3 linked regions of the Elephas maximus indicus genome follow. The protein of the gene in region 2 interacts with the protein of the main gene of each other region in a pairwise test. Links are inferred from orthologs where the notes say so. Each region holds a gene or a part of one and is shown on either strand. Other genes may lie near its edges. The genes, in order: ATP-dependent RNA helicase DDX19A, MIF4GD and EIF3G.

Region 1 (7,374 bases), on a different chromosome or scaffold from region 2:
AGACAACAAACATTATGAGATCAGCAAATTCTGTACACGACGCAGTTCAATGTACCATGCTCACTCAACTGGGGTCTCAGGCTGCTTTCTGGCCCAAAGGGTCAGTTGGATCCAGCCTGGAGAAGGGCTGTCACCTTCTGATGATTGGCTGGGTGGCTGGCCTGGAGCAGTGGCTGGGAGGGAGGCCCAAGGCCACGAGAGACCAGGAGAGCACTGTGAGGGTTCTTTCTCAAGAGTTCGTCTTCTAGTGGGGAAAGTCAAAAAGTAAACTGGAAGGAGGCAAGTAAGATGATTTTTGATGGTATCCAGATGTTCACCGAACTGTCACCAATTAATAGGGAAGGGGTGGGGGCCTTAGGTAATTTATATGCTCTTGATGCACTATTATACCACAATTAAATGAGTAAATTATGACATAAAAAATACATATTCATATAATAAAAAGATGAAAATTGAAATTGTATGTATACTTTGTTTAGGATTATGTACAATACCCGTGCTATTGATGCATATGAACAAAGAATAGAAGGACCCAGAAGAAAAGGAAACACTAGTGTGGGTGTGAGTGTGGGTGTGTGTTCACTGGAGTGGTGAAATTGTTAGGTGCTATTGAGTCATTCTGGACTCACAGCAACCCCATGGTAGAATAACTGGGGGTTTAAGGGTTTTGTCTCTTTCCACTGATGTAGTTGATTTGATTCCTGTGTATTCCATCCAGTGAGGTTCACATGTATAGTCACCATTTATGTCGTTGAAAAAAGGTAATTACAATGAAGAAACTGATGGTCTTGCAAAATTCTGTCATGCGATCTCTGGTAGCGTTTCTATCATCAAGGCCATATTTTCCAGCTACTGATCTTCATTTCCAACTTTGCTTTCCAATCACCAGTAATTATCAAAGCATTTTGATTGCACGTTTGGTCAATTTCAGACTGCAGAAGTTGGTAAAAATCTTCAATTTCTTCATCTTTGGCATTAGTGGTTGGTGTGTAAATTTGAATAATAGCCACAATTAGTAACTGGTCTTACTTGTAGGCGTGTGGATATTACTCCTATCACTGACAGCATTGAACTTCAGGATAGATATTGAAACGTTCTTTTTGACGAGGATTGTGATGCCATTCCTCTAAAATTTGTCATTCCTGGCATAGCAGACCATATGACTGATTCAAAATGGCCAATACCAGTCCATTTCAGCTCACTAATGCCTAGGATATTGATCTTTATGCATTCCATTTCATTTTTGACAACTTCTAATTTTCTTAGATTCGTATGTCATACATTCCACATTCTGACTATTGATGGATGTTTGCAGCTGTTTCTTCTCATTTTGAGTCATGCCACCTCAGCAAATGAAGGTCCCAAAAACTTTACTCCATCCACGTCATCAAGGTCAACTCTAAGGAGGCTGCTCTCCCCCAGTCGTCTTCTGAGTGACTTCTAAGCTGAGAAGATCATATTCTGGCACTATATCACACAATATTCTGCTGCTATACATAAGGTTTTCACTGGCCAATTTTTTCAGAACTGTCAAGTCTTTCTTTCTAGTCTGTCTTAGTCTAGAGGCTGCACTGAAACCTGTCCACCACTGGTGACTCTGCTGGTATTTGAAATACTGGTGGCATAGCTTCCAGCATCACAGCACAACAAACTAAGCCACCACAGTACAACAAACTGACAGAACAAGGCCAGGGGCTGACTTCAGAACAGACCATCAATTGCTCATATGCAAGTTCAAGTTAAACTCAAGAAAATTAAAACAAGTCCACCAGAATCAAAATAGGGCCTTGAGTATATCCCCCCTGAATTTAGAGACTATCTCAAGAATAGATTTGTTGCACACAACACTAATGACGGAAGACCAGACGAGTTGTGGAATAACATCAAGAACATCATACATGAAGAATGCAAGAGGTCGTTAAAAAGACAGGAAAGAAAGAAAACAGAATGGATATCAGAAGAGACTCTGAAACTTGCTCTTGAACCTCAAGTAGCTAAAGCGAACAAAAGAAATGATGAAGAGCTGAACAGGAGATTTGAAAAGGCAGCTTGAGAAGACAAAGTATTATAATGAAATGTGCAAAAACCTAAAGTTAGAAAACCAAAAGGAAACAACATGCTCGGCATTTCTCAAGGAGAACTGAAGAAAAAATTCCAGCCTCGACTTACAGTATTACAGAATTGTATGGACAAAATACTGAATGATGCAGGAAGCATCAAAAGAAGACAGAAGGAATACAGACTCACTGTACCAAAAAGAACTGGTGGATGTTCAACCATTCAGGAGGTAGCATATGACCAAGAACTCATGGTATGGAAGGAAGAAGTCCAAGCTGCACTCAAGGCACTGGCAAAAAAGAAGGCTCCAGGAATTGATGGAATACCAAATGAGATGTTTCAACAAACTGATGCAGTGCTGGGAGTGCTCACTCATCTATGCCAAGAAATTTGGAAGGCAGCTACCTGGCCAGCCAACTGGAAGAGATCCATATTTGTGTCCTTTCCAAAGAAAGGCAATCCAATAGATGGCAGAAATTATCAAACAATATCATACACAAGTAAAATTTTGCTGAAGATAATTCAAAAGCAGTTGCAGTATGTTGACAGAGAACTGCCAGAAATTCCAGCCAGATTCAGAAGGGGATGTGGAACCATGGGTATTATTGTTGATATCAGATGGATCTTGGCTGAAAGCAGAGAATACCAGAAAAACCTTTACCTGTGTTTTATTGACTATGCAAAGGCATTTGACTGTGTGGATCATAACAAATTCTGGATAACATTATGAAGAATGCGAATTCCAGAACACTTAATTGTGCTCATGATGAATCTGTACATAAACCAAGAGGCAGTAGTTCGACAAGAACAAGAGGATACTGCGTGGTTTAAAATCAAGAAAAGTGTGTGTTAGGGTTGTATCCTTTCATCACACTTATTCAATCTGTATCCTAAGCAACTAATCCAAGAAGCTGGACTATATGAAGAAGAACACAGCATATGGTTTGGGGTAAGACTCATTAACAACCTTCCATATGCAGATGATACAATCTTGCTTGCTGCAGGTGAAGAGGACTTGAAGCACTTACTGATGAAAATCAAAGACTACAGTCTTCAGTATGGATTACACCTCAACATAAAACAAAAATCCTCACAACTGGACCAATAAGCAACAGAGAAAAGACTGTGGTTGTCAAGTTTTCCTTTTACTTGGATCCACAATCAACACCCATGGAAGCAGCAGTCAAGAAATCAAAGGAGACATTGCACTGGGCAAATCTGTGAAAGACTTTTAAAGTGTTGAAAAGCAAAGATGTCACTTTGGGGACTAACGTTCATCTGACTCAAGCCATGGTATTTTCAGTCACCTTATATGCATGCGAAAGCCAGACAATGAATAAGGTAGACCGAAGAAGAACTGACGCCTTTGAATTATGGTGTTGGTGAAGAATACTGAAAATACTACGGACTGCCAGAAGAAGGAACGCATCTGTCTTGGAGAAGGTACAGCCAGAATACTCCCTAGAAACGAGGATGGGAAGACTTCGTCTCACGTATTTTCGACATGCCCTGGAGAAGGACATCATACTTGGTAGAGGATCAGCGAAAGAGAGGAAGACCTTCAACAAGAGGGACTGAAACAGTGGCTGCATGATGGGCTCTAGCATAGCGTAGCAAAGTGTTTTATTACATGGGGTCGCTGACTCCACAAGAGGGTTTTGTTTTCTTAGACATTACCGTTCTTGACAACAGGAACTGGCATCATACAGTATTCTTCACGGGCCTTTTCTTTGTACGGAGCCACTCAACGGCAACTGGTTTGGGTTTTTTGCTGCGACACTCAGGCTGCTAACCAAAAGGTCGGGGCTCCAATCCATCAGCAGCTACTAGGAAACCATATTGGGGCAGTTCTATTCTGTCCTATAGGGTCGCTATAAGTCGGAACGGACTTGAAGGCAACGGTTTTTCTTTATACAGGCTTTCTGGTTCACAGAAGCGCACGTACATATTTAATATGACACGCGGTAAGTTACAAATAAAACGAGTTATTTCAGTGTGAAGTAAGGTAGTGAAGTGAGGGCAAAACAGTTTTACTTTGAAGAACTTACGGATTTAAGGCACTACGAGGCAGGAGCAGGGAACTACAAATACAACGCGGGAGGTTTAACCACGCCGGAATAGGGCTGAAACACAGGGCCGGCGCGACGTGGCGCCGAATGGTGACGTTTTCGCACCTGACGGATCGGACGTCATTCTCGCGCGCCTCCGCTTCCGGCCCGTGTGAGTGACGTTTTCGTGCCGGCGACAGAGTCTGGCCGGTGTTGTCTCGTGGTCTTCAGTATCTTTCCTCGTGTCCACCTCCTGCCCCCGGCACCATGGCCACCGACTCCTGGGCTCTGGCGGTTGACGAGCAAGAAGCAGCTGTCAAGTCGGTCAGTGGATTCTGCTCAAAGGGGCAAGAACGTAGCAGAGGCCCAGGTGGACCTGGGCTCGAGGCCCAGAGAGAGGGAGTGGTAGAGCAGGCCTTTGGCCAGCACGACCTGCACTGCTGCCGTGGGGAATAACTGCGCCCTAAATTTGCTTCTGGAAACCCTGGTGGCTTAGTGGTTAAGAGCTACTTCTGGTAATAAAAAGGTCGGCAGTTCGAATCCTCCTGGCGCTCCTTGGAAACTCTACGGGGCAGTTCTACTCTGTCTTATAGGGTCACTGAGTCGAGTCAACTCGATGGCAGTGGGTTTGGTTTTAATTTGCCTCTGGGGCTAAAAAGACCAACATTGAGCTTTTGATCATCATCTAATCCAGTTAAAGACTTGTTGTTGTTAGATGCCATCTATTCGTAGCGACCCCATGTGACAGAATAGAACTGCCCCATAGGATTTTCTTGGCTATAATTTTTATGGGAGCAGATAACCCGGTCTTTTCCCCGCGGACCTCCAACCTTCAGGTTAACAGCGCAGCGCAAATATCTCTTCACTGTATATTATTACCATTCCTGTGTTGCACCTGTTTCCCAGTGGCGTTTGTAAACAAAGGCAAATGTAGATGGTCATTCTGTTTCATTGAAATAACACATTTACAGGTTTAGATTTAATGTCTCAGTGTACTGTAAAGGTAAGATAAAGTTTAGATTTGTTTAGAGACAATGGACTGTTGGTAGTGACAATATAGACTATTTACTGAAGACTTTTCCTGTAGTCTGAAGCCTTCTGTAGCTTTTTTTTTTTTTAATCTACTCAGTGTATTTTTTCATTGTACTTCAGATGAAGGTTTACAAAGCAAATTAGTTTCTTTAAACAGTTAATACACATTGTTTTGTGACATTGGTTGCCAACTCCACTACATGTCAACACTCTCCCCTTCTCAACCTTGGGTTTCCCATTACTAGCTTTCCTGTTCCCTCTTGCTTTCTTGTCCTTGCCCCTGGGCTGGTATGCCCATCTAGTCTGATTTTGTTTTATTAGCTGTCTGATCTTTGGCTGAATTCTATAACTTTTTAATGCCTAAATTACGTTTCTTCTCCAGCTATGCTTTGTTGATTTGGGAGTACTATCAGTTCATCAGCAGATAAATAAAATGGGTTAAACCTGGTGGAGTATAGGAAGAAGCTTTATAGTCTTAGCCAGGAAGACTACAATGTGGGAAGTGCTATGAAAGAAGTAAGAACAACATCTTAAATGACCTCTGAAGAGGGAGAGGACATTTATGAGTGGGAAAATGCTGGAAATTTCTTGTGAAGAAACTTATATTTGAGCTGGATTTTAGAGATCGAGTCATATTTAAGATAGAGATGACGGCGAAAGACATTTTAGGAGGAGAAAATGTGCCAAAGTGCTGGACTTGCCTAGAGAACAGGAATCAAATAATTTTGGCTGCAACTTAAGGTGATTGGTTTGGAGTGGGGCAGTATAGAAAATATCGCAGGGAGTATACTTTAGACCTTGACTAAAAACTGAAGGAGAGGGGGCTTTATTTAGTAGGCTTGTGGTCCAGGGCTTGATTTGAGTATTCCTCAGAACCCGACAACATACCTTTACAATACCATCTGAATATCACACTTTACTCTTCCAATATAGAAAAATAGTTCTCATGACAGTGGAGAGTTGTTTGCAAATTTATGAATTATTGCTCTGCTTGCAACTTAGCAAGTTTGTATTGACTAGGAGTACGTGGCCAGGAGTAAAGGAGAAATCATTTTGTTCAAGCTTCTGTAAGATTTTTAAATCAGGAACTTGGGTTTGTCAATACTTTCATTATAAAAAATAAGTTTCTCCCTAATTTATAATCTAGGAGGTTGATAAGACAAGAAAGAGGGCTGTAATTTATTTGCTGAGTGTTGCCTGAATACAGCATGGGTTTTAGGGGTTAAAAAAAAAAAACCAAACTTATGAGATATTTACATCGTATCATTCTTTACCTAGAAACAAGCTGTGTTTGTGCCTTTGAAAGTTTATATTTGATATATGTTTATTGAAGGTTAGATGTCCTGGGAAGAGCATGAGTTGGGAGAAGAGCAGAGGTTTGAGATTGCTGACATACTTTTTCTTCCTACTATTACATTTAGTTTGCCCTTCCCCCTGTTTTTTAGGCTGTAGAAGAGATTTGAAATGATGTTTACACCCAGTCAATTCTACATCAAGCAAAACAAACCTGGCCCCTGAAGATGGGTGTTGAAGTAGCTCCTGCTAGGCTTTTACTAGAGACCTCCCCTGTGCCCAAAAGTCTTCCTTTAACTGGGTCACTTGCTTAACTCTACTTCCTTTCATTCCCATTCAGCTGAGCAGCTTGCAGATCAAGGAAGAGAAAATCAAACCAGATACCAATGGTGAGTGAGTAGTAACTACAAGCCAGGCACAAGCTACACATGTGCTTCTGTTTTGCACTCATTGCTGCAGTGTGAATAGGAGTTTTCACTTAGCCCAACATTTGGTAAATGATTAGAGAGCACTGGATTAGAGAGCCAGTAAATTAGGCTTAATTACTGAAAGGGATGTGTGATGTTTTCCAGATTTGATCCAGCCTCTCATTCCTTAAATCCAACAATCAGCACTGGAGTATACTGCTACTCTTTACTGGAGATGGTTTCTTTGGAAAATTATTTTTGTTTAATTTTTTGAAAGATAATTTGGGTCCAAAACTCAAAGTATAAAAAGTTGAAAGCCCTTCTTCCCATTGTGGTCCCTCATTTACCGAGGTCCCACTCCCCACCCCATCCCATAAGTAATCACTGTTATTTGTCTTATTAATATTCTTTTGAAGTTTCTTTAAGCAAAAGAAATATAAATATAGATTTATATTCCCATTTTCTTTCTCACAATTAGCAAACTGTTTGCTAATATAATGCTGTATTTTAAATAAGGATAAGTTAGAGGTGACATT
Region 2 (6,922 bases):
TGATGCACTGCGGGAACTATTACTGGGTCTGAGTTATCTTCAGCACAGTTTTACTTGCGTGTGATATTAATGATATTGTTCTATAATTTCCACGTTCTGTTTGTATTATTTCTCTAGTGCAGCTGTAACAGAAATACCACAAGTGAATGGCTTAATCAAACGGAAGTTTATTCTCTCACAGCTTAGGAGGCTAGAAGTCTGAATTCAGGGTGCCAGCTTGAGGGGAAGGCTTTCTCTCTATATCAGTTTCTTGTCATCAGTCTAGGAGCTTGTGAGGGCAAGGACCCTGACCAAAGGACATGCTCCACTCTTGGTTTTTCTTGCTTGATGGTAATGAGGTCCTTCTCTGCTCGATTCTCTCTTTTGTATCTCAAGAGATTGACTCAAGATACAACCTAATCTTATAGATTGAGTCCTGCCTCATTAACATAACTGCCTCTAATCCTGTCTTATTAACATCATAGAGGTTAGGATTTACAACACATAGGATAATCACATCAGGTCACAAAATGGTGGACAACCACACAATACTGGGAATCATTGCCTAGAGCTAAGCTGATACACATTTTTGGGTGACACAATCCATAACACCATTGAATCACCTTTCTTTAGATTGGGCTTGAATATGGATCTCTTCCAGTCTGTTGGCCAGGTATCTGGTCTTCCAAATTTCTTGGCATAGACAAGTGAGCGTTTTCAGTGTTGCATCCATTTGTTGAAACATCTCAGTGGATATTCTGTCAATTCCTGGAGCCTTGTTTTTCGCCAGTGCCTTCAGTATCATTGATTCTTGATCATATGCTACCTCCTGAAATGGCTAACCATGGACCACTTCTTTTTGGTACAATGACTGTACATCTTCTTTTGATGCATTCTGCATCATTCAATATTTTGCCCATAGACTCTTTCATTATTGCAACTCAAGACTTGATTTTTTTCTTTAGTTCATTCAGCTTGAGAAATGCTGAGCATTTTCTTCCATTTTGGTTTTCTATCTCCAGGTCTTTGCACATTTCATTTTGATACTTTGTCTTCTCAAGCTGCCCTTTGAAATTTTTTGTTCAGCTCTTTTACGTGATCATTTCTTTTGTTTGCTTTAGCTACTCTACATTCAAGAGCAAGTTTCACAGTCTCTTCTGATATCCCTTTTGATCTTTTCTTTCTTTCCTGTCCTTTTCATGACCTTTTGCTTCTTGCGTAATGTCCTTGATGTCATCTGACAACTCATCTGGCCTATTAGTGTTCAATGCTTCAAATCTGTTCTTGAGATGGTCTCTAAATTCAGGTGGGATATACTCATAGTTAACTTTGACTCTCGTGGGCTTGTTCTAATTTTCTTCAACTTGAGCTTGCATATGGGCAATTGATGGTGTTCTGCAGTCATTCTTTGGCCTTGTTCTGACTGATGATATTGAGCTTCTCCATCGTCTTTCCACAGATGTAGTCAATTTGATTCCTGTGTATTCCATCCAGCAAGGTCCAAGTGTCTAGCCGCCATTTATGTTGTTGAAAAAAGGTATTTGCAATGAGTAAGTTGTTGGTCTTCCAAAACTCCATCATGCCCTCTACAGCGTCATTTCTGTCACTAAGGCCATATTTTCCAACTACCAAGCCTTCTTGTTTCCAACTTTTGTATTCCAATCACCAGTAATTATTGATGCATCTTGATTGCATGTTTAATCAATTTCAGACTGCAGAAGTTGGTAAAAATCTTAAATTTCTTCATCTTTGGAGTTCATGGTTGGTGAGTAAATTTGAGTAATAGTCTGTATTAACTGGTCTTCCTTGTTGGGTATGGATATCATCCTATCACTGACACCATTGTACTTCAGGATAGATCTTGAAATGGTCTTTTGACGATGAATGTGATGCCATTCCTTATCTTACCCCTCCGCTTTTCCACACAAATCACACCCCTTCTCACAGTGTGAGGGAAGGGACACTGCCCTCCCCAGCTCCATTCTTCTCCACAGCTGCAGCCCTCAGCAAGCTCTGCTTTAGTGCTGCAGGGAGATTGCCAGGTGAAGGTGGTAAGTTGGGGAAAGGGGGTGCCGATGGGGAGGAGGAGAGGAGAAAGGTGGCAGCCCTAGCCCCTGTCTACCTTGGTCTGCCCTCCTTTTACTGGGTGCTGGGCCAGCCCTCCGGGGCAAGTGGGAGTTCACAGCTGGCCCAGCTAGCATTGGGGTGCCCCTCCTTGGCTCAGAGCATGGCACTGTATGTAGACCCCAACTTTGTGACCCCAAAAGGCCACGAGTCTGAAGCAGCCCAGTGAAAGGGATGGCCGGAGGAAGGGGTTGGGCAGCCAGCCAGCCCTGAGAGGACCCATTTAGTGCCCAGGAGGGGTTGTCAGCAGCAGGAGCCCCAAGAGATGTTTATCTAGACACAGAGGAGACACTTCAGTTAGGGGTATGAGAGGAGAAGAAAATCCACAACACAACCACCACGTTTCCATCCTTGCTCACCAGCCCCCTTCCCTCCAGCCTGCTAGCTGGCTTCAACAGTGGAGCTAGGATGGAGGAGCAAGTGGACTCCTAACCAGGCCTTAACCCAGCCTGAGTGGGGAGCCTGCCCTCGCTCCGGGCTCTTGCTCCAGCCTTTGCCCTGACTAGTTGCTGAGGAAGACCCCTGCCAGGAGCAGGTGGAGGTGGGTGTCTGGCTCTGGTCCTGGGCCCCTTCTCATACTGTTATTGCCCCCTGGCCTGGTCTGGCGTTTGTGGTGTGCCTGGGTCCTGGACACAGACGTCTCCTCTGCCCTTGGCTTGCCTTGCCTTGGCTGCTGGAGGGGTGTTTAAGGCTTGGGCCTCTGACTGCAGGAGGCGGCTGCCTGCGTGTGTTTCTTATGAAATTCCAGAGTGAGTCTATTGCAGTAAAGTTTATTCTCAGTTTTTTTTATGCTGTAGATGAGAGTTCTCTGCCCCAGCCTTTTCCAAGTAACCGCTTTGGGGACTCTTTGTAAAAGGAGGGGAGAACTTTGGCAACAAGCAGCTGCCATGCACACCCCCTCTTGTCCAAGCCGACGGAGAAGGCAGTAGTTCTGCCATCCTCTGGGTGCCCACAACCTGAAGTCGACCTCCCTGGGCAGCCTGGGGAGGGGCGGGAGGACGGGGAACACAACACGGTGCAGTTCTTGGGCTGCGTGGTCAGCCAGCCTCTCAGCCCCAGTCAAGAAAGACCGAGTCAGGGGGCTTGCTCAACTTCCAGGTCGCTTCCAACACCCTGCCTGGCATACACTAACAATTGTGACCCATTTCTTGGACTGCCCACTTGATTTTAAACTTATTTTACCAGATTCCTTAGTACTTAGAGTAGAAGAGGGGGATAGTGGAATTTGATCCAGCCTCAACGGCCCCCTGCGTCTCCTCTGCCATGGGAGTAAGAGTGGGGACCCTGGCCTCTCACGTGTGATGATCCTGCCCCTCCAGCCTTCCAGCCCACCCTCCCCTCCACTCTGGCTGGACCGCGCCCTCTCCAGGCTTCTCCCACCCTGTGCGGCACGCCCGCGTCTCCTTTTTGACCCTATTAACCTGAACCCCGGCGTGGGGAACGGAGGGGTGCCCATGTTAAGCCCGAAGGTTTCAAGCAGGCCAGGAAGCAGGTGCAGCCCAGCGCCTACGAGCCGTTGTGGTCCCACGCGGGGACGGGGCTTAGTGGGTGAGGAGGGGACAGGGGCAGAGTGAGCTCATTCTGGGGCGGTGGCAGTGTCGCGACGTTGCGCGCAGCGTCCGAGTCAGCCCCACGCCCCGGAATCCGGCCCTCGGGGCGGGCCGGGCTGCGACAGACGCGTCCTCGGGGTTCCGGCAGGCGGTGCCGGCGTGGCTCCTCGGCCCCGCCCCTTGGGCCCGGCCCCTCCCAGGCTCCGCCCCTTCCCAGGCCCGCCGCACTAGGAAATGACCTAAGCGGCGGCGAGGCGCGCCGGCCGCACCGGCTGCGCCGCGTCCGCGGGCGCGCGCGCCGTGCCCGCCGAGCGGTTCCCGGGCACGCGGGCGCGGCGCCGCTCCGGCAGGTGGGTCCCGGTACTCGCGGCGCCGGGAAGGGCGTTCGGGGTTTGGGAAAGCGGCAGCTGTCTGGAGACCCCTAAGGCTCGCCTCCTCTGACCTGAGGGGAGAGCGACACCAACTCCGGGAGGGGACCCCACCCGGGCTCCCTCTCGGTGGGCACATCCCGCTCCCTTGCTTAAGGGGAAGGATTCAGAATGGAGCTCAGGAGTTAGGAGCCCTGGGTGGGTTGCGCCGGTTTAGCCAGTTCGTCCCTGGGGAGACTCTGGCCAGCCGTGGGAGCTCGGGCTCAGGGGCGGCAGAGAAGGCTCCTGCACCCACCTGAGGGCTGGAGGGATGGGTTTGGTGGACTGAAAAGGACTCACATGGAAGCCGAGGGAGGGTTGGGAAGAGGGGCTTGGAACCCTGCTGGAGCTGAGGGTCCGCAGCTTGGAGCCCCCAGCACCAACTCTTGCCCGAAATCGTGCTGTGCCAGCAGTTTCCAGGCCGGTTTACATAAGGCCAGGCAAGTCTGTTCAGAGGCGGGCAGAAGTCTCCGATACCCACCTAGCCACTCTCCCAGCTCAGCACACAGCCTCAACCTGCTGTCCTGTCAGCTGGGAATAAACCCTGCCTTCCTGCTGGGACTGTAGCGTAGCCTCATTCGCCCTTGTCTTTAATCGCTCAAACCTGGAGTTTCCTAAACTGAGCAGCAGGTGTCTGGCTGGTGTCCTGTCTCCACCAAAATGCCAAGCTTGGTGGCTCTCAGCCAGCCTCCAAGTGCCATGGCTGGCTCAGAAGCACCTGTCCCAATCCCTGGCCAGCCCCACCAGGGTCTGCAGCACTGGAAACACACCCCACACCTGAGTCATCTCCCTTCACTTTGCCTTCTCCCCAGGTGCCCTCAGTAGTCCAATGCCAGTGAAGAGCTGCTGGGCCGGATGGTCATGGGGGAGCCCAGTAGAGAGGAGTATAAAATCCAGTCTTTTGATGCAGAGACCCAGCAGCTGCTGAAGACAGCACTCAAAGGTGAAGAGGGGAGCCCCGTCTGAGAAGGGGCCAGGCGGGAGCAGGACCAGAGGCCTGAGCTGAGGGCACGCAGGGAACGGGATTGCCCAGCCTGTTCCCTTTGTCTGCTGAGAGCGGGAGTTAGCAACGTAACTCCTGAACTGGAGGACAGGCTCCATGTAGACCGGTATTTGGGAGTGTGAGTCACAGACTCCCCTTTCAGACTGCAAAGCCTTTTTTAAAAAGTACCCATGGAAGGGGTGTAGGGCCCAGAGAACACATAGTTTCTGCATTTTAAGCCCTTACATTTGTGGTCCTGGTTTCTGCTTGGCTGCAGCCAGCTCTCTTTAATGTGCAGAGCTGCCTGCCTTGGGACAGAGGATGATGTATTCTGCTTGGCAGAGGAGACATAGTTAAACTCCTGTTAGACTCGGCTAACAATTAGCAATGCCCATCACGTGCCAAGCACTACGCAGCTGCTCTTAACAAGAATACTTCCTCCCATGGAATTGCTGTTAAGACATCGCTATTCAGTGTCCCTTGTAAAATGAACATGGAACGCCTTCCTCAGCCTAGTGTCAGGAAAAAATGTGGGTCCTGAAACACTAGTCTAGAAAAACCACATAACCCTTCCAGGTTTTTCTTTGGGCAACCAGGAAGCTCAAAGCTAGAGCCCAATTTCAGTATCTGCTTCTATGTATGCCTATTGTCCCCCTCTCTTTATGTTTTCAGATCTCTTTAAATTTAAGTATATGCAGGTAGTCCCCGACTTATGACATATTTGAGTTACAACTGACTGCGCCTACAACCATCCTTTTTTTTTTGTACATGTTATCTTTAGTAACATTTATTAGTGTTGCAGCATGTAATTTGCTGGTTACCATTCTCATGCCAACCCCCCAAAGACAAATAAAGATCAGATTATAAAGATACTGATAATAAAAGGCAATAATAATGAAAACAAAATGAGGTATTCGACTTACATCAGAACTGACTTATGGTGGAGTCGTTGGCTAGGAACCCCTGTCAGTGGGGAACACACACAATGGGTGTGCTCTATTGTAAGCTTCTCACGTCCTTTCTAGAAGGTGGAGGTGACTGTGATAAATAGGCGGAGGTCACTGAGTCGGACTCGACAGCACCCAACAAGGACAACCCTCCTCTCTCTGCCTCTAGATCCAGGTGCTGTGAACTTGGAGAAAGTGGCCAATGTGATTGTGGACCATTCCCTGCAGGACTGTGTGTTCAGCAAGGAAGCGGGACGCATGTGCTACGCCATCATCCAGGTTGGAGGGGTTGTAAAGGGGAGATGTTCTGGGGAAGGTGCTCCAGGAGTGGGCAGAAGCCTGGCCAGCAGCAGGGCAGAGACAGACTCAAAGATGGGGCAGGTGGGCCCTGAACCAAGGGTGCTTGGGTAGGGGCTGGGATGGCACCTCCCCCTGCTGCTCACCAGCCTTTCCATGGCTCACAGGCAGAGAGCAAGCAAGCAGGCCAGAGTGTCTTCCGACGTGGACTCCTCAACCGGCTGCAGCAGGAGTACCAGGCTCGGGAGCAGCTGCGAGCCCGCTCCCTGCAGGGCTGGGTCTGCTATGTCACCTTCATCTGCAACATCTTTGACTACCTGAGGGTGAGGCCCCAGTAGCCACCTTGGGTCACAGACAGCCCATCTCCCAAAGCCCAGGCTGGCCTGCTCCCCACTGCCACTCAGCCTGGTGCTCTGACCCCTCTCCCCCCTCAAGGTGAACAACATGCCCATGATGGCCCTGGTGAACCCCGTCTACGACTGCCTCTTCCGGCTGGCTCAGCCTGACAGCCTGAACAAAGAGGAGGAGGTGGGTGGCCAGGTACAGCTGAGGGCTGCAGAGTTGGGCAGTCTGGCACAGCTCAGAGAGCCAGCTCACTGTCCATGGAGGCTTTTGAGGGCACCACTTCCTGGGGCA
Region 3 (8,089 bases), on a different chromosome or scaffold from region 2:
CTCAAAGCAATAGTTTCAGGGGTTCACCCAGCCTCAATGGCTCCAGAAAATCTAGATTCCATGAGAATTTTAAATTCTGTTATGCATTTCCCTCCCCCCTTTCAATCAGGATTCTTCTATAGAATCTTTGATCAAAATGTTCAGTAATGATAGCTGGGCACCATGAGCCATAGAGTTTCCAATTGCTGATTTTTCAGAAGTAGATTGCCAGACCTTTCTTCCAGGGTACCTCTGTGTGAATTCTAACCACCAACCTTTCAGTCAGCAGCTGAGTGCTTAATTGTTTGCACCACCCAGGAACTCCACAGAACACTACAAAAAAAAAAATCCAAACTAGTTGGGACTCCTTGGAACACTATTTAAAAAATTAAAAAATGTTGTTGTCGAGTCAATCCCAACTCACAGTGGCCCTATAGGACAGAGTAGAACTACCCCTAGGGTTTCCAAGGCTATAATCTTTATGGAAGCAGATTGCCACATCTTTCTCCCATGGAGCAGCTGGTTAGTTCAAACCACTGACCTTTTAGTTTGCAGCCGAGCGCTTAACTGTTGCCACCAGGGCTCCTTGAAATACTATACGAGGTTAAAATAAAATAGAAAAGTGGAAGTGCGTGCAAATGCAATAAAAAGAGAAAGCATATGCATGAGCGTGGCAAAGCCCAAATTCAGGGGGTGGTTACTTCTCGAGGGTGTTGTTGTTAGGTGCTGTGAGTCGCTTCCAACTCAGAGTGACCCTGTGTACAACAGAACAAAACACTGCCCAGTCCTGCACCACCCTCACAATCATTATGCTTGAGCCCATTGTTGCAGCCACTATGTCATTGAGGGTCTTCCTCCTTTTCCCTGACCCTCTACCTTACCAAGCATGATGCTCTTCTCCAGGGACTGGTCCCTCATCATAACATGTCCAAAGTACATGAGACAAAGTTTCATCACTCTTGCTTCTAAGGAGCATTCTGGCTATACTTCTTCCAAGACAGATTTGTTTACTCTTCTGGCAGTCTGTGGTATATTCAATATTCTTTGCCAACACCATAATTCAAATGCCTCAATTCTTCTTCAGTCTTCTTTATTCATTATCCAGCTTTTGCATGCATATGAGGCGACTGAAAGTACCATGGCTTGGGTCAGGCACACCTTAGTCCTCAAAGTGACATCTTTGCTTTTGAACACCTTACAGAGGTCTTTTGCAGCCCATTTATCCAGTGCAATACATCGTTTGATTTCTTGACTGCTGCTTCCATGGGCGTTGATTGCGGATCCAAGTAAAATGAAATCCTTAACAACTTCAATCTTCTCTCCATTTATCATGATGTTGCTTATTGGCCCAGTTGTGAAGATTTTTGTTTTATCTATGTTGAGGTGTAATCCATACTGAAGGCTCTAGTCTTTGACCTTCAAAGTAGTGCTTCAAGTCCTCTTTGCTTTCAGTGAGCAAGGTTGCTTCGTCTGCATATGGCAGGTTGTTAATGTAATCCTGATGCCCTGTTCTTCTTCAAATAGTCCAGCTTCTAGGATTATCTGCTCAGCATACAGACTGAATAGGCATGAGGAAAGGATACAGCCCTGACACACACCTTTCCCAATTTTAAAGCAAGCAGTATCCCTTTGTTCTGTTCGAACAATTGCTTGTTGGTCCACGTACAGGTTCCGCATGAGCACAATTAAAGCGTTTTAGAATTCCCAGTCTTAGCAATGTTATTCATTGGGAAGGTAACGTGAGGTAAATGTGACAATGGAGGGTGGCAGAAGGAGCTTCAACTGCACTTGTAATGTTTGATTCCTTTTATAGTGATTTGTTGCCTAATACTTTTCTGTATGCCTAAAATACTTAAAAAAAAAAATTAAGTCACAAAACACCCGGATAGCACCCATGTTCAGTGGCTAGCTACTTCTAGACAACTCTAGACCCGTTGCCATCGAGTCGATTCCAATTCATAATGATCCTATAGGACAAAGTAGAGCTGTCCCATAGGGTTTCCAAGGAGTGGCTGATGGATTAGAACTGTCAACCTTTTGGTTAGCAGCCAAGCTCTTAACCATTGTGCCACCAGGCAACTCTGTGTATCCACAGATGCACACAATTTTACCTCCAGGGGTGGTGCTTGTATGGATGGGCCAACATTTAACTAGTTCCTTATTAATGATGCTTGGAAAGTTTTCAATTTTCCAATCCTTTAAGCCACTCTGTGTTGAACATCCTCTTATGGGCAATTTAATGCACTGCGTGCATATTTCCTTAGGTCATCCCTGACCGGAGAATGCAAGATGTGGATACACAAAATATATAAAAAAATATATTACCTCATGTATATATTACATAAATATATATTAATATTAAAAAACCAAACCCGTTGCTGTTCAGTCAATTCTGACTCACAGCAATGCTACAGGACAGAGTAGAACTGCCCCATAGGGTTTCCAAGGAGCAACTGATGGATTTGAACTGCTGGCCTTTTGGTTAGCAGCCAAACACTTAACCACTGCACCACCAAGGCCCCACATATATATGTGTATGTGTGTATATATGTATATAAACTTGTTGCTGTTGAGTCAATTCCAACTCATAGTGACACCATGTAGACCCAGAGTAGAGCTTCTCTGCAGGATTTTTGTGGCTGTAATATTTATGAAAGTAGATCCCCAAGCCTTTCTTTCACAGCACCGCTGAGTGGTTTCGAACTGTCGAGTGCAAACCTTTCATGCCACTTTATATTAATATATATAATTAATATATACAAAAACAAGAGCATTGCCGTCGAGTCAATTCCAACTCATAGCGACCCTACAGGACAGAGCAGAACTGCCCCATAGGGTTTCCAAGGAGCAGATGGTGGATTCAAACCATCTGACCTTTAGGTTAGCAGCTGAGCCCTTAACCACTGTTCCACCAGGGCTCCATATTAATATATTAAGTATATAAAATAAATAATTTTACATTCATGTATATAATTATTTGTATTTAAACCAAAGCAGTATATACACATGGTAAAAAGTCTAAATACAGCAGAAAAGTGCAAAAGTAAGCTTTCCTCCCCTGCTGCCTTCCTCCAAAAGCATCCCTCAGCGACAGTTTCTGAAATTTCCTTCCAGAAAGTGGTTTGCATATACTTGCATATCTATGTCCTATTAAAGAATTATAGAAATTGGATCATGTAACATAAGCCATTCTACATCTTGTCCCCACCCTCCTTGTCTCAGAGATTTGTTTTTACACGAACACAAATGTATCTGCCTCTTTAAAGACTACCCAGCATTTCATAGATTATGGCTAGTGTATCACAATCTATTTAACCAGCCCCTATGGGCTTTTATGTTATGGGTGGACACATAGGCGTTTCCAGTTTTTGCCATCATGAACAATTCTGCACAGACATCTTGTTCGTGCATCTTCGCGTGCTTTTACGAAATTTACTCATGAGTTGAATTATTAACTGGCTGAAAGGAAAATGCATATGTGCCTTTTTAAGTTTTGAGAGATGTTGTCATGTGGATGGACAGATGTATGCACTCCAAAGAGCTTGCATATTTTCATCCCCACCGCCAATTGTGTGTGAGTGTCTGTTTCCTTTACCACCACTGCATAATATCGCATTTAAAAAGTTTTGCCCATCTCCTGCGTTGTTTGGATTTTGCATTTCTTGGAGTAAATTTGAGTAAGTTTCTACAAGTGTTTATTGGCCCTTTGTACAAACTTTATATCTTCATCCATATGGCCAGATCACCCTCCTGAAGGGCTGGACCCACACACCCCTCTTTCTTTGATTCACTTTCCCAGCCTCCTCCCTCCTCTTCTGATATTTTGTTTCCTCCCAATCCACCCTCCACAGGCTTCCAGCATAATCTTTCTCACAAGAAAATTTGTTCACATTGGGCTGGCACTCAGTTTGACTTCACCCATACCCCACAGCCCACAGGATAAAAAGCCCAAACTCCTTAGTTTGGGAAGGCCTTTAAGACTGGGTTTCCACCTGTCCCCCAATCCCTATTATAGAGCACTTACTATGTGCAGACACCTTGTGGGTGGGTGCAGGGAGCCAGAGGGGGACAAAGCAAGGAAACGTCTACTTTTTGTAGGTGAAATTCTAGAGCAGCATTTCTTGACCTTTTTTTCTTTATCATCCACTATGGAAAAAAGTTAAATTATTTTAAAATTTAATTAAAATCAATTACTTAAATCATTTCCAATTTAAATGACATTTAAGTTATCCCTAATGATAGAAATGAGGGATAAAATAGAAAGTCAGCAAAAAAAAAAAAAGGAAGCCCCTCAACGAGATGGATTGACACAGTGGCTGCAACAATGGGCTCAAGCTATTGTAAGGATGGCACAGGGTTTCTATAGGTCCGAACCTACTCAAGGGCACCTAACAACGATAGAAATTACTTAGGAATAAGATTTTGCCTGGTAGAGTTGGGTTTAAAACCCATTGCCATCGAGTCGATTCCGACTTATAGCGACCGTATATGGCCACAAACCATTTTGATTTCTAAGGCTTTTTACTCCTGAGTCAAATTTTCATCTCCTTGGGGGTGCTATTTCTTCGTTGAGAAGACACATTCTAGAGGGATAAGCAAGTAAATAAACTGATTATATCAGAGAGCTAAGACTGCTACACAGAAAATAAGGAAGAGTGGTTGAGGAAACCTAATCACCCCAGTTAGGAAAACCCTCCCCAGACAAGGAAGAACAGCGCAAGCAAAGGGAATGTCTAAGGCAAAGGCCCTCTCACCATTCTAAGCCTTGTTTTTTTTCAGCAACAAAATAGAAATGATAATTTCTTACTCACGGTGCTTGACCCACAGTAAACGTTAAATGAATGTTTTTTTTGTTGTTATTATTTAAATTTTTCATTGTATTAACAGGTAAATGAGATAAGCCCTGAGATGAGCCTTTGCCCCAGCCTGGCTCCTGCTAGGTACCACCGTCCAGGGGCTCATGCAGTCGGCGTCTCCGCCTCCTTCCGCAGGAGGCGCTGTGGGAGAAGCGGCAGGGTTGCTCTAGGCGGCGGAACCGGAAGTCTTGTTCTCCTTCCACTTCCGCTCTCTGGCCCGGGTTCGGACTGCGTGGATAAGGGTTTGAAATGCCGACCGGAGAGTTTGAGTGAGTCTGGGGCTCGCGGATGGGGACCAAGAGGGACAGCTTGGAGGTTCTGGGGAGTTTCATGGGGGTTGGATGCGCCGAGGCGTCGGGGACCGACATCGCCGACCCCACTCTTCCCCCGTAAACTTGTTCCCGCAGTTCGAAGCCCAGCTGGGCCGACCAGGTGGAAGAGGAGGGAGAGGACGGTGAGTACTGTTACCCGGCTCGCCCTGTTACCGCTGCCAGCCCCCAGCCCGATCACTACCTTCTGCTCCAGTCCTCTCCCCTCCGCCCCCGTGTCACCGCGGTCGGACCCCACGTTCCGCATCACGACCCACCCCTACTCCCGCGCCGTCCTGATCGAGGCCAGCCTCCTGCCACCTTCTGGTGTTCACTGTGGCTAGTCCCCCGTCCTCCCATGCCACTGCCCAAGCGTCTTCACAGCTGCTCCCATGCTCCACACCCAGTCCCCTGAGCCTTTGTACTAGCTCGTGGGGGTCTTTCTGGCCTGCCTCCACCTTCATGCCAGGGTCGTAGGGCTTAGTTGCTGGACTCTACTCCGGCCCAGGGATCTTTACCTCCTGCCACTTCCCGAGGTTAACACAACTGGCACCTGCACGACTGCCCTAAGGTACTTCTTGCCCAGTTTTCTGCTCTCCTCAGCTCCTGCTATGGGTATCATCCCAAAGGCCCTTCCATCTCATCTTGGGGCTTCGACCCTTCTAACTGATCCCTCCTCCCTACACACTCTCACAGACAAATGCGTCACCAGCGAGCTCCTCAAGGGGATCCCTCTGGCCACTGGTGACACCAGCCCAGAGCCTGAGCTTCTGCCAGGAGGTGAGTGATGACCTTCACTCTGTTACTGGACTGGATCCCTTCAGAACTCCCTGCCCATCCTGGTCTCCGTTTCCCAGGGCTTGGCTCCCCTCACCACTCCTCCTCTCTCCCAGCTCCACTGCCGCCTCCTAAGGAGGTCATTAATGGAAACATCAAGACAGTGACTGAGTACAAGATAGATGAGGATGGCAAGAAGTTGAAGGTGAGGCTGGGGGAGGGGTTGGGTGCCCTAGTGGTTGGGGACATGGACTGGGATAAGGTGGTGTATGGGGACAGGGTTGGTGAGGAAGATCCTCTGGCCCCAGGAGCCTTGGGACACAAGAAATCCAGCCCTCTACCTTGCTGTCCACAGATTGTACGCACCTTCAGGATTGAGACCCGGAAGGCCTCAAAGGCTGTCGCGAGGAGGAAGGTGAGACCCTCCTCCCCGTCTTTGGAGCTACGTCAGGCCTGATCCAGAGGGACTGGGAGACCTTTTTCCCAGTGCCTTTGCTTCCTGTGGTGGGGTTTAATTGTTTTTACTGAAGCAGAACTGAGGCCTAGGAGTGTTTGCACTCACTTGGGGCCTTGAAAAGTCCAGGGAGCAGGAGGGGGTGTGGTTAGATTTTTATTCCTTTTGGCTTGTCTACCTGGAGGAAAAGAGCCAAGCCATTCTCTGAGGTGGTCAAAGCATCTCCTGTTTACTAGACAAAGTGCTTCTGGAAGAAGTGATAACAATAAATACGATTTTCTGAGCACTTTCTCTGTGTTAGACTCCATGCCAAGTGCTTTGCAGGGAGCATTTTTTTCTTTTTCTTTTTTTATTGTGCTTCAGGTAAAATTTTACAGCTCAAGATAGTTTTTCATTCAGAAAGAATTTTTTTTTTTTTTAATTTTAGGTGAAGGTTTACAGACCTAACTAGTTTTTCATTAAATAGTACACATATTGTTTTATGACATTAGTTAACAATGTCATGATATGTCAACACTCTCCCTTCTCAACCTTAGGTTCCCTATTACCAGCTTTCCTGTCCCCTCCTGTCTTCTAGTCCTTGCCCCTGGGCTGTTGTGCCCCTTTAGTCTTGTTTTGTTTTATGGGCCTGCCTCATCTTTGGCTGAAGGGGTGAACCTTGGAAATGACTTCATTACTGAGCTAAAAAGGTATCTGGGGGCCATACTCTCAGAGTTTCTTCAGCCTGTATCAGGCCAGTAAGTCTGGCCTTTTTTATGAGTTAGAATTTTGTTCTACATTTTTCTCCAGCTCTCTCCAGCACCCTCTATTGTGATCCCTGTCAGAGCAATCAGTGATGGTAGCTGGACACCATCTAGTTGTACTGGACTCAGTCTAGTGGAGGCTGTGGTAGATGTGGTCCATTAGTCCTTTGGACTAATTTTTCCCTTGTGTCTTTAGTTTTCTTCATTCTTCCGGGGAGTATTTTTTTCTTTGGTCCCCATAGCAACCATTTGTGGTCCCCAATTTATAGGGCAGGAAGCTAAGGCTCAGGTTAACTAGCTCAAGGCCCCTCGTGGCCTGGGTGACACCTGGCCCCTTCCCCCCTGCTCTGAACCATTTTTGAGTGCTGCCGCTCCCCAGCATGAGCGAGTTTGAAGTCCACCAGCCCACCCAGGCCCCAGCAGGACTTGTCTGCTCTGCAGCTCTTTCCCAGTCGGAGCTTCTGTTTTTATCGTCTGGAACATGGGGCTGAGAGCTGCGCCTGCCTCCTGGAGCTAGTGTGATGCCAGGGGCTGGCATGCACTCAGGAAATAGGAACTGTTGTTATTGCCATGGGGAGGGCACTTGGGGGGATGGAGAATGGGGGGTTCAAGGCCCAGATTCCCTGGGGGTAGGTGTTCTAGGGCTGGCTGCCAGTGTAGGACCGCTGACCTGTCTCCCATCCTGCCCTGAGCCCAGAACTGGAAGAAGTTTGGGAACTCAGAGTTTGACCCACCAGGGCCCAATGTGGCTACCACCACAGTCAGCGACGACGTCTCCATGACGTTCATCACCAGCAAAGAGGTAAGTGGGCAACAGAATGGGGCTGGTGCACAGAGTGGTGGTGGCAGGGGTATGACAGCCACCCTCTGAGTTGTCTCCCTCTACCCCTGCCAGGACCTGAACTGCCAGGAGGAGGAGGACCCAATGAACAAGCTAAAGGGCCAGAAGATCGTGTCCTGCCGCATCTGCAA

The links.
Region 1: the proteins of MIF4GD (region 2) and ATP-dependent RNA helicase DDX19A interact in binary tests that used the Homo sapiens proteins (3 or more experiments, as listed by UniProt). The two-hybrid records come from large-scale screens. The link is inferred for Elephas maximus indicus from reciprocal best matches to the Homo sapiens genes MIF4GD and DDX19A.
Region 3: the proteins of MIF4GD (region 2) and EIF3G interact in binary tests that used the Homo sapiens proteins (3 or more experiments, as listed by UniProt). The link is inferred for Elephas maximus indicus from reciprocal best matches to the Homo sapiens genes MIF4GD and EIF3G.

The regions. Positions count from the first base shown.
Region 1 is NC_064839.1:40,154,168-40,161,541, reverse strand, and holds the start of ATP-dependent RNA helicase DDX19A, read left to right. Parts: upstream 1-4,288; 5' UTR 4,289-4,373; coding exon 4,374-4,430; intron 4,431-6,771; coding exon 6,772-6,820; intron 6,821-7,374. UniProt on the Homo sapiens protein: ATP-dependent RNA helicase involved in mRNA export from the nucleus.
Region 2 is NC_064837.1:65,598,840-65,605,761, reverse strand, and holds the start of MIF4GD (MIF4G domain-containing protein), read left to right. Parts: upstream 1-3,920; 5' UTR 3,921-4,003; intron 4,004-4,872; 5' UTR 4,873-4,915; coding exon 4,916-5,003; intron 5,004-6,158; coding exon 6,159-6,268; intron 6,269-6,453; coding exon 6,454-6,609; intron 6,610-6,721; coding exon 6,722-6,814; intron 6,815-6,922. UniProt on the Homo sapiens protein: Functions in replication-dependent translation of histone mRNAs which differ from other eukaryotic mRNAs in that they do not end with a poly-A tail but a stem-loop. May participate in circularizing those mRNAs specifically enhancing their translation.
Region 3 is NC_064821.1:28,258,992-28,267,080, reverse strand, and holds the start of EIF3G (eukaryotic translation initiation factor 3 subunit G), read left to right. Parts: upstream 1-5,010; 5' UTR 5,011-5,084; coding exon 5,085-5,104; intron 5,105-5,242; coding exon 5,243-5,289; intron 5,290-5,839; coding exon 5,840-5,923; intron 5,924-6,000; coding exon 6,001-6,125; intron 6,126-6,275; coding exon 6,276-6,335; intron 6,336-7,814; coding exon 7,815-7,919; intron 7,920-8,012; coding exon 8,013-8,089. UniProt on the Homo sapiens protein: RNA-binding component of the eukaryotic translation initiation factor 3 (eIF-3) complex, which is required for several steps in the initiation of protein synthesis.